3 linked regions of the Coturnix japonica genome follow. The protein of the gene in region 1 interacts with the protein of each later gene in a pairwise test. Links are inferred from orthologs where the notes say so. Each region holds a gene or a part of one and is shown on either strand. Other genes may lie near its edges.

Region 1 (4,296 bases):
CCCACTCCCAGCCTCCTGCCAGCTGCAATCAAAAGTCTGCATTGTTCTGATGGTTTGCTGTTTGGAAAGGAATAAGTAAAGATATTCACCCATTAATCATATATTAAAATGCTAGGTAAGAACAAAGTATTATTGTTGGAAAGACTGCCTTCAGCATGGGTTCGCTTTGGGAACAAGCTTTTGGCCTTTTTGTTTTATTTCACTTTTAAATTCAAATCTGGTGAAAAATCTGCACTCGTATGCATGTTCCTGCATTTTTTCAAGCTAAATATCTTGGGCTAGTGTTTAGAAAAAAACAACAAGCAACACTGATGTTTTGCTGCACATGATTGGAATGCTACTTTTGCTTTTCTTGTTTTGTTCTGTTTTGTTTTGTTTTTAAGGGGGAACACTGTCTGTGTAGCAACAACGATAATTTAACACTAAGAATCCAACCAGAATAGTTGTTTTATTCCTATTGTTTTAGTCTTAGACCTGAATGATAGGCAAAGAATTTGAGGACATGAAAATGTTATTTTCACACACAACTTCTTCGGTGCTCAATTTACTACACTCTGCACATCAGTTGAACATAACTGCAGGATCCTGGGAAAAAAATGGCCAAGGGGAGCAGCAAATCTGGCTAGGGTAGCTCCCAACATGTGCTGGTGGCCCACGCAGAGCCAATGTTGCAATCGTTGGTAGGAAGTGCTACCTTTGGTCTGTAGCCAATTTACAAAACTCATTTCATCAGCACTAGGGACAAGTAGATCAGAGCCGTGTATGGAACTGAGCAGGACAGACCATAAGTGCAGTAGAACATAGGGATGTGCAGAAGTATCAGCTGTGGTGTTTGAAGAAGTTAAGCCTTCCAAAGCATTCTTGAGGGGATAGTAAGCCTTTAGATAAGATAGACATGTGCAGACTATTTGGTATTTATCACTTTTTTTCTTTTATTTCTGATGAAATTATGTTCTGTTCTTCACATAAAAGATGGAACAAGCTTGTTCTTAAGCTCACTGTCTCAACACAGTCTACACTAATGGTCATCACCCCCTGCCAGAGGAAGCCTGGAGAGCACATCCCAGACAAGACAAGCTAAATGAGGTCAAACACACTGTCAGTGATATCCTACTCAGTGGAAGATGGAAACATGGGAGCAGACTGATAAGCCACATCTATGTCATGAATCAGAGAAGACCTCAGGGTACTCCCAGGTACTGCAACTCAATGATCTCTCTAGCCAGCTGAGCAAACATCAGCTTGGGCTCTCCCATTTGGGAGTGAGTCCCATCTATGTGGCTATTTTGGTAATTGTATTTTTGATACAAGAAGCATGTAATGGCACGGATATTCAGATTCTGGATTCAGAGCATTGCAGAGGGTATTGCATGTACTGCTGTAATGGGGGCAGAGACAGCCCTGAGACTGGATTCAACTTCTTCATGCTGATGTGTTCAGTCAACATTTGATGTGAAAATCCACGTCCCAGCTAAAGTCAGCAGATCTCCAGCAGTTTGGGATCAGCTAACGGCCTATCCTTTTGCCTTTTAAATCTCCACTTAGGGATTGAGGTCAATTCCTAGAGCTTTGAAGTGAGGTGACAATTTACATGAGCCTTAGGTTTGGCTCAACTGGGGTTGATAGGGGCCTGAGGTCCTGTCAAAGCCTACTGAACAATGGCTGCTCAGTATTTTGGAAAAATAAGCCACCACAAAATAACTCCTTTCATTTCATTTCCTAACACAATAAACAAATTCTAGCTTAAAATGTGATAGTTTTAGTTCTTGGACTAAAAGTAAATATCACCTTTGTATCACTCTTCATGGTCGCTGGATGAAAGAGATTTTCCTTATAAGGATTTTTATATTAAAAATGTGTGCACAAATTCATCCAAACACATATATGCGTACGCACAAACAATCTTATTTTTCCCAAGAGGTCTTCTTTTATTGGCTTCATTTGAAAATTAATGCTCTCATGAGATGAGGTTAAAAGTAATTTAATGTAACAATGGCCTGATAATTGGCATTTGGCAGTTATTGCTAATGCTATTTTATAGTCTGGTTCTGAAGAATTTGTGCTTTCATACGCAGACATGTTTTAGTGCTTTTCTTTCTTTTCCCTCTTCACACAGCTGCTGTAACCCATATCAAGCAATTGTTTAAACAAGAAATCAACAAGCATCGCTTGTGATTTGGCTTTCTTTCCTTGCAGGCTGTTAGGAAATGGTCTCAAAGAGGGAAAAAAATAAAATGTTCCTTCTGCCCTCTATTTTTCCCCACTTTCATAAAGAAGAAAATGCTGATGGAGAGGAAAAAAGAACACTAATCACACACTTTCCGCCTGAAGTCATTCAGTTTTCTATTCAAACCAGGAAAGTGTCTATAGTTAGACATGGTTGTATTCCTTGAGAACATGGAAACGACAGCATATTATTAGTGCAGAAACTAAAGAACAGCTGCTATTTAGCACCTGGTTCCCAACAACAGGCTGGAAATACAAAGTCAGATGCTCTGTATGTGCCCTGGCAACAAGGAACGAACAAACAACCGAAAATCCCCTTTTCTGGTAAGAAAGAAGCCCTCCCCTTGTGATATCTGCCCAAAGCCTTAAGAAACTTCCAGCCCCTGTTACAGAGGGAAGGTGAAAAGAAGAAAAGGGGCCAAAGGATGGTATAATCCAGACTGGTCACTGTCTTACCTTGCTGCAGCTCGGTGGTGCCTCTGTTTGTGAGAGCGCGAAGGATGGGAGCAAACACAGGGACTCGTGGCTTCATTGGATTACCCACACTATGTATTTAGTAATTAGACAGACATTTGTACTTCAGATGAGCTATAAATATAATATCTCCAGAGCCCCAGGCACCCAGAGGAGATAAGGACTGCAGTACCTCTGTGCCACCGGCCTTTTAAGGCATCACAGATATAGCAACACAAGGCCCCCAATGGAAAGGGCTGCTGTCCTCCTGACCTGCTCCATTTCAGAGTGCTGGATCTCAAAATACACTCACCTACTTTCAGGAGTTCCTGCGAGTGTTCCTCAGAACGCCAGAACTATTATATGATTTGATATTTTCACTGAGCTATAAGCAACTCTAACTTCTCCATCAGATTATTCCCCAAGGCTCTGGGATTAACAGAAATGCCAGCTGCTCTGTGGATGCGGTGAACTCCAACTCCCCTTCATCTGTTTGTCTGTCCATCCCAGGCATACAGCCTCACTGCAGGGTGGTCTGTCTGCCTCATTGTGCTCTATTTGATCCCAGGGGAAGACAGTGGCAGCACAAATCAGTGGTCACAAATCAGTGGGTATGGGCAGAGGCCTCAAAGCTCAGGAGCCTGCTTTCCCTGCTGGGCCCCTGCTCTCTGCAAGGGAGGTGTAGAGCAGAGGTGTAGGGGACACTCATACATATAAGGAGTGAGAGATTAGAGGTAAAAGAGAGGTCTTCCAGCAGATCCTGTGGGCACTGCCCTTCTGGCTGCAGAGATGAAACTGCCCAAACAAGGCTCAGTGCAGAATCAGGACTGCATCCTAGCTCTTTGCCCATAATGGATCCATCTCTATATTTTGATGTGTTTCTACAGAGCAAGATGCAGCACAGTTGTGGTCCTTGATCAGAATGTTGTACTATTTTAATTTGCTTTTTAGAAGAAGAAAAGGTAATCCTCTTCAACACACAGATGAAGAAAGAGCATTGGGCAACCTCTAGGTGCAGAAAAATGACTCTCCCTTACACGGCAACATATGTCTTAGAAGAAATACTACGCTTTTAAACTGAGATTATCTGTTGTTTCTTCTCCTGCCTGAAGCAGGATTATCTGCCATCAATCTCTCTGTTGGATTTATCTATTACTTCCACGGTCCCAAAGAATGCCCCGTTCTCTACATCCCCTTCTCCTCAAATTGTTGGTAGTTCAATAGTTTTTAGGAGGTCGTGTCACCTCCCAGTTCTTCTCTGAACACTTTGTTTGGTCAAGCTGTGGAGACTGGATACGGACACAAAATTTGTGCCAGGGTTTTTGACATGACAAATGGATTTATGGCTTGATTTGGAGCCCAGTCAGGTTTTATGGTTTTAGCGCCAAACCAATCAGAAGTAGGCATCTGAAGGGTTCATCCTGACATAAAAAAGCTCATAGCAAAATGTCCTCAACCCCTGCCAAGCAACATAATTTGACAGCATGAGTTCAAGTCTCCTGGAACAGATGACATCTGCCTTTGTCCATACAAAACCTCCCAGCTTCCAAGCACCATGGCCTAGGAGCACTGCCTAGAGACTCAGCTTAGGGAGATATGAGAAATGTCCTACCGTTT
Region 2 (3,648 bases), on another chromosome or scaffold:
TCGGGTAAATGGCTGCCAGAGGTACACCGGGAACTCCCTTGGTAGCTGAACAAAGGCTTGAGCAGTCTCCTTCCCACACAACCCTAGACAGAACACATCTCAACTTAAAATGCACTGAATTTTGGGGGGTTGGATCTTCTTCTATGGCTTCTTGTTCTGTATTCAAGGCAGACATAAATAACATACTTTTGGCAATATAATATAAATATTTTACTGGGTTGTAACTCATTTCCATGGCAAATGAACACGTTACTGGATAACTCTGGTCTCTTCCACACAGAGACCATAAAAGGTCTTCCACACGGAAACAAACTGTATTAAATTGTAAGGAACAGCAGTAATTCCCCTTTTCCCTTTGTTTTCATACAGAACTGCAACACAACCTTATGGACTGTCAATTCAAGCCCTAGTGGTGAATTTAAAAACTCACAAAGTAAAGGTCCCTTCTGACTCTGAGGATTCTATGATGATGATCTGTAGCTGCACCCTGACCTGAATCACTGTGTACAAGGGATGCTCTACAACATCAATCTCGTCTCGGTGCTGTGCATCCAAACACAAAAGAGGTTCACCTTGGTGAGTCTTCTCTTCTGCATTGCACAAAAGGGCAGAAAGGTTGTAAAAGAACAACTGAGACAATCCTTGCAGAGGGAGAGCCATGGGAAGCCAGAAGTGGCCCTGGGCTGTTCCACGTTGCTCATCCCCAATTCCTCTGGAGCTGAGACGACACAGAGGACACCTCCAAGCTCTGCTGCTCCACGCCAGCCCCTGACCATCCTACACCAGCAGTCTTGGGAAAGGGGAAATCAGGGACGCTTGCCAGAAGTCATAACTTTTAAGTAATATGAGACAGGACTTCAAAAAAAAAAACCACACAAAAAAGCCCTCTACAAAAAAAGATAGATATTTTCTCATTCCTCCTATCCTTTTTCAAACTTGACTCTACACCACATAGCGATTAACCTCCTTAAGCCCTGAACTTTTCTTGTCTTCAGGGACACAGGAGGGGGCAACCCTGCAACTCCTGCTGCAGAAACAACAAATCCAGAAACAGCAACCTTCCTGTCGTCTCTGTGGGATGCCCTATCAGCTGTGAATCAACACAGGCAGCTGGTATCTAAAAATGGAAACAAATAAACCAGGCATATTAACAAAGCTGGGAACAATAGTGGTGTAGTTCCTGCCCCATTTCTGCACAGCTTCCAAAGGGTTTGTGTAGGGATACTGGAAAAATACAGAGCCAGCATTTCTCTGAACGTTTTAGTTCATGGCATCTTTCGTGTATGTCTACTCTGGGATTAAGTTTTGACTTAGAAAATACGCTGTTTGCATCTTCTGTAAGCTTAAAGCCTAGCCTCAAAGTCTGCCCAGATGTGGTTTCTGTAAGGAAAAGAGCCTGAGGTTTGGCACTAACTTTTACCAAGTCTTACCAACAGGATCTGGAAAATGTTTATCAGACAGCAAATTGTAATCTTCTTCTAAAGTCAGTACTTTGCCTCCCGCAGGAACAAGATGATGTTTAGGGCTGAGTCCTTTCTGGTAGGCCTGGAAAATCATGACAGAGGGAGTCAAAACTGAGATTTAAGAAGGGGGAAAGCATAAACTACGTTACTGACAAAGTTAATGCACAAATTCCTCAAATAAAAAGGTTTTTGTCAGGCTGAATGTCAGATATATTCACTGGACATATCAAGTCTAAAAAATTTAGTAAAGTAAAAATGGTATATAGAAAAGATCATTCAAAGCTCATCAGCCCCAGTGAAGACTCAGGGACAGAAGAGAGGAGCCAATAAAAGGTACTTCAGCAGACTCTTGGGCATCCCTGTGAAGTTTCCAACCAAGGCTGCAAGGCTGGAACAGCCTCCCTGGGATATTTCATCTGTTGCTAGAAGAAAGGCATTTAGAGCAACAGATTCCTCAGATCTCAGTCTCTTGGGGAGTGCTGAAGAACATAACAGGAGGAAACATTTACCTCTTTGGTCTCAAAGCAATCTACAGTGTAGTCATTTTTGATAACAACATATCTGTCCTTCCACTTCTTCACATCCTCAGCAAAATGCAGCAACTCTGTTTCATACAAGACGGTCCCAGCTTCTGATTTGGGCTATAAAGAAAATTTTCTAGATTTGAAATGATTCCGGATTTACACTTCTTTGTAACACTTTTGCACACGTGGTCTGATAAATAGCATACAGTTTTTGGAAAGATGTTGCTTTTCTATTACACCACCTTCCACTCCCAACCACACTGCTTTTCTCTGTACATTTCAAGAGCATCAGAAATCCATGATTTTAAACACAGCCAGAAAAATCAGTCTTGTATTTTCATAGAATCATCACTTGGCTTGGGTTAGAAGGGACCTTTAATATCATCTAGTTCCAACCCCCCGCCCACAGAGACACCTCCCACCAGAGGGCTCACAGCCCCATCCAGCCTGGCCTTGAGTGCTTCCAGGGAGGGGCATCCACAGCCTCAACTGAGCAACTTGTTCCAGATCTCACCATTCTCACAGTAAAGAAGTTCTTCCAAATTTCTAGTCTAAATGTACCCTCTTCCAGTTAAAGTCATTTCCCCTCATCCTGTAATGGACATGCCTTTATAAAAAGTCCATCCCCAAATAATTTTCATTATATTAAAGCACTGGGGTTTTATATACGAAAACATCTAAGTAACTTCATAAGTATTTTGGGCTTGATTTTTAGAAGCTCTGAGTATCTGTATTGCCTATTAACTTTACTTAAGAGCATCCAACACCAGGATAAACAAGAAAACCAAGTCCAGCTGGTAGCTGATACACTTCCAGTTCATGTTTTTCATGTATTACAGCTACTAAATGGCTTGTTTAAATAGTTTTAACATTAATTATTTCATGAAGGAGAGCAAAGCTGTAGGCAGCTTCAGGCTGGGGCCAGGCTTACGCGTCTTCCTACCCTGGTTTTCAGGAACTGGGACTGGGAGTTGCGGTGCTGCTCCAGCTCATCCTGCACATGCTTGCAGAAAGCCACGGCGTACTGGTGTTTGTAGTGTGGGCTGAAGTTTTTGATGATAGCCTCTGTTTTTCCTGAAGGACAAATAAAGACTAATTATACTTCACGTACACTAGCTCAGAAGCTGTAATGCAGAACCAAAGAAGTTTTTACCACCAACTCATAATAATGCCCAACTGCACCCACGGCCACTTGTTGCCGAGCAGGTCAGGGAGCCCTCATGGATGCATTCAGCTGCTGTGATAACACAAGTACAGATTTTTCTCATTCCAGAAGCGACAGAATTGGGCAAAACATAACCCAAGTACACTACCTTTAAAAAAAGACACTCTGCCTCTCCCACAGACATACTGCCATGGAGCAGTGGATGCCTGCAAGCTGATGAGCTTATTGAAGAAACATAATCACAAGTGATAGTGGGTAGTGTTTACATACTGGATAGCGTTTAGACATGCTAGCCAATTTTATCACATCATCAGATTTTAAAGCTGACTCAAAACTCTTTGCAAATGATATTTTCTAGACTTGGGCACAAGAAGTCCCTTCTTTGTTTTACTGTAAACAGACACTTAGCCACGCTGTGTGAAATGCTCATCTTGTATTGTCTTACTATGATGGAGATCTCATCAGTAGCAATAACAGCAATAAACACATTGAGGGG
Region 3 (3,648 bases), about 13 Mb from region 1:
TTTTCTGTTGACATTTGCTTGGTTTAGATAAAGGCATTGGCTGGTAAAGTAAATCTGAATCAGAATCACAGAATGGTTTGGTGAGGACTTTAAAGCCCACCCTGCCCCAACCCCTGCCATGGGCAGGGATGCCCCCCACCAGCTCAGCTGCCCAGAGCCCATCCAGCCTGGCCTTGAGCGCCTCCAGGGACGGGGCACCACAGCTTCTATGGGCAGCTGTGCCAGCACCTCACCAACATCTGAATAAAGGATTTCTGTCCCTAGAGGTGTTGAAGAAACGTAGATGTGGCACTGAGGGAGATGATCTTTAGTGGGGTGGTGGTGATGGGCTGACAGTTGGACTGGGTGATCGTAGTGGTCTTTTCTGACCTTTATGATTCTAGGATTCTATCTGCCCTTGTAAAAAGCCAGTCTCCCTCCTGTTTATAAGCTCCCCTCAAGTACTGGAAGATCACAATGAGGTCTCCCTGCAGCCTTCTCTTCTCCAAGCTGAACAAGCCCAACTTCTTCAACCTTTCTTTACAGAGGAGGTATTCTGGCTCTCTGGTCATCCTCATGGCTTCCTCTAGTCCTTCTAAAGGGCCGTGTCAGAGGTACTGCACCAATGGCCTGACCCACTAAAGTAAAACCCCATGGGAGGAAAACAAGACAGCTCTTACAAGGGAACCGAGGACCCTTTGCCACGGTGGAACATTTCTGAGCTGTGTATTTTTAGAAACGCTTGGTTTTGTGCTCCTGCTGAGTTAAAGCAGTGTGCAGTCTCTGGGCTCTGCCACACACTGTCATTAGGCAGACTTTGTTTAAGGCGGCAGAAGGGGCTGCCTGAGCCCTTGGGTTGGCTTGCATATGGGTGGGGCTTTTTGACTACAGGCAGCCCTCAAGTCCTTTAAATTATCTGTGTTTATGGCTAAATATAAGTTCCTCAAAACTCTTCGTACAGCACTCACGGATGTCTGTATATATAGCATCGCTGTGTACATTACCGCTGTGAGTTGTGGAGCCGCTGCCCTGAAACGTGGAAACGTTTAAGGGCTTGTTTTGGTGACAGGGTCTTCCAAGACAGTCGCAAATGTTTTGTTAAGGAGGAGATTTATGCACTGCCTAAACCATGTTTCTGCATCGCAGGCCAAGCGATGTCAATGCCGGAGCCCATGGCAGCCCCGTCCTGCTGATGGTGATGTGAGCACGGCGCTGCGGAGCCACAAAGCCCTGCGAGATGGAGGAGCTCTACAAGGAGACCCCCAACCTGCCCATGGATGTCACCAGCCCACCGGCAGCGATGGCCAACAACAAGCTGGAGAACGGTGTGGCCCAGCTGATCACGGCAGAGGCCTGGAACATCAACTCAGCTGACCTGATGAAGAAGGCCCTGTCCCCGCTGGTGACCGTCCCTGCTCCCTCCATCCTGACACCGCCGGCCGAGTCACAGAGTGGGGTGGCACTGAAGGTGGCGGCCACCGTGCTGCAGCCCATCTGCCTTGGGGACAGCCCCGTTGTCCTCCCCATCCACCTGCAGGTGGCTGGCAGTGCTGCCCCACAGATGCCGGCTGGTGGTGCCACCCCATACGTCATGACCACGCAAGGCCCCGTCCCACTGCCAGTCCTGCTGGAGCAGCATGTCTTCCAGCACCTCAACTCACCCCTGGTGCTGCCCCCTGGCACTGCCTGCCCAGCCAGCCCCCTGCATGGCAGCCTCTTCCCGGGCGCCTCTGCCCCTGTCAGTCAGCCCCAGCTCCTGGACCCCAAGCCCTCAGGCCCAGGCCAGGAGCCCGTGCTGCCACCCGTCTTTCAGACGCCTGGTTTCGCTGCAGTCCTGCAGGACCTTTTCCCCTCAGGGCAGGGCACCCTGGGCTCAGCCCCCTGCCAGCCCCCTCCTGACTATGCTGCCCTCCCCCCCCAGGCCTTCAGCTCACCCCTCTCCCCTCTGGTACCCCCTGCCACACTGCTGGTGCCCTACCCTGTCATTGTGCCACTGCCCGTCCCGGTGCCCATTCCCATCCCTGTCCCCATCCCCGTACCCCACGGCGCTGAGGCCAAGGTAGCCACTGACCCACCCAAGCCCCCAGTCTTCACCCCGCAGCCCTGCAAGGGCACCCAGACTCCCCTGGAGAAGGAGGAGACAAAGCCCTTCGACCTCGTCCACCAGCGGGACTTCTCCCAGCTAAGCCGCCACACTGTCATCAAGATGGGCAGCGAGAATGAGGCGTTGGACCTCTCCATGAAGGGCCCGCCTGTGCCTCGGGCCTGCGAGGCTGCCCCGCCACCGCCATCCCCTGAGGATGGGGCACTGGACCTGTCTCTCTCCTCCTGCCGCAAGCCAGGGGGCCCCCATGGGGAGATGGCCGGCAGCGGGCCCAGTACCGAGGGCAGCCCACAGGACAAGCCGGCCACCCCTTTCACTTCCGCCAAAGCGCCAGAGGCTGCGGGCAAGGCGGAGGGCAGGGTGGCGGGGCCAGGGCCAGGTGAGCTCCTGCGGCCGCCACAGAAGTGGTTGGTGGAACCAGCCGGGAGGGCGGCCTGTGAACCCAAGGCCGGTGGCAACAACATCGAGATCGTCAGCACCTCGCAGACAGCCAAAGTGATCGTCTCCGTCAAGGATGCTGTGCCCGCCATCTTCTGCGGCAAGATCAAGGGCCTGTCAGGGGTGTCCACCAAAAACTTCTCCTTCAAAAGGGACATGCCCCAGGACTCAGTGTTGCAGTGTTATGATGTGAAGAGCCAGCCCGAGCCCCGGGACAACGCCGAGGCGCTTAGGAAACCCGTAAAGAACAGGAGCGTAAAGCTAAAGAAAATGAACTCGCCCGAAATACACATTCTTCCAATCAAGAAGCAACGGCTCGCTGCCTTTTTTCCAAGAAAGTAAATTATGGGTTTTTAGAATTTTAAGATTATTATGGAAAAAAAAAAATAAAATAAAAAAGATGCACTTGGTTTAAAACTCATTTAAAACTTTAAACTATCTTTGTAAGTTATTTTTGGGGGAAGGGGGGAGAGGAGCAGATGTAGAGTCCCTATAAGCTGGGTTTCTTTTTTTGTTGGTTTGTTTTGTTTTGTTTTGTTATTAAATTTTGACTTTTCGTGGGAAACTGAATAAAAGCAACCTATTTTTCAAGCAGATTGCACATTTTGCAGCTTTAATGGAGTAACGGATGAGTCAGAGGGGTAAGAGCTATTTTCACTGCCATAAAGTGCTTTGATGATGTAATTCTTCATAATGGTTAGAACGGAAATTTCAAAATAAATGTTTGTACGTGCTAATCGGTGGCGGGATCTCTGTCGTTTCTGAAGGGCTTTGGCCACGTGGAGGAGGCCCGGCCAAAGTCTGCAACCGCCCTCACATGATCAGAGTGAATGCTACTGACAACCCACCCGGGAGCAGATTGGGGTGTGCTGCAGGGGGCACTGCACTCCACTGGGCTTTGGAGTGGTAAAAAATGAGGGTAGGTGAGTGGTGAGGCCAACCCGGATCTGAAGTGTTGAAAGCAATAGCAGCAGTTACTTAAATGACAAGGTCTTAAAATCTGTGAGAATTCAGTTGCCAAGGAGTGATGAGGTAAAATTGGCCTAGTTTTTTCCCAGCCTGACTGTAGATAGGTGAAGGCATTGTTTATTGTTAGTTTTATAGCTGTCTTTGATGGCCGAAGTCAG

The links.
Region 2: the proteins of FHL2 (region 1) and NIBAN1 interact in binary tests that used the Homo sapiens proteins (3 or more experiments, as listed by UniProt). The two-hybrid records come from large-scale screens. The link is inferred for Coturnix japonica from reciprocal best matches to the Homo sapiens genes FHL2 and NIBAN1.
Region 3: the proteins of FHL2 (region 1) and RAI2 interact in binary tests that used the Homo sapiens proteins (3 or more experiments, as listed by UniProt). The two-hybrid records come from large-scale screens. The link is inferred for Coturnix japonica from reciprocal best matches to the Homo sapiens genes FHL2 and RAI2.

Annotation. Positions count from the first base shown.
Region 1 is NC_029516.1:121,913,059-121,917,354, forward strand, and holds the start of FHL2 (four and a half LIM domains protein 2), read right to left. Parts: upstream 2,810-4,296; 5' UTR 2,683-2,809; intron 58-2,682; exon of another isoform or gene 1-57. UniProt on the Homo sapiens protein: May function as a molecular transmitter linking various signaling pathways to transcriptional regulation. Negatively regulates the transcriptional repressor E4F1 and may function in cell growth.
Region 2 is NC_029523.1:7,389,607-7,393,254, forward strand, and holds part of NIBAN1 (protein Niban 1), read right to left. Parts: intron 3,062-3,648; coding exon 2,931-3,061; intron 2,105-2,930; coding exon 1,973-2,104; intron 1,546-1,972; coding exon 1,431-1,545; intron 84-1,430; coding exon 1-83. UniProt on the Homo sapiens protein: Regulates phosphorylation of a number of proteins involved in translation regulation including EIF2A, EIF4EBP1 and RPS6KB1. May be involved in the endoplasmic reticulum stress response.
Region 3 is NC_029516.1:108,813,287-108,816,934, reverse strand, and holds the end of RAI2 (retinoic acid-induced protein 2), read left to right. Parts: intron 1-1,125; 5' UTR 1,126-1,216; coding exon 1,217-2,863; 3' UTR 2,864-3,258; downstream 3,259-3,648.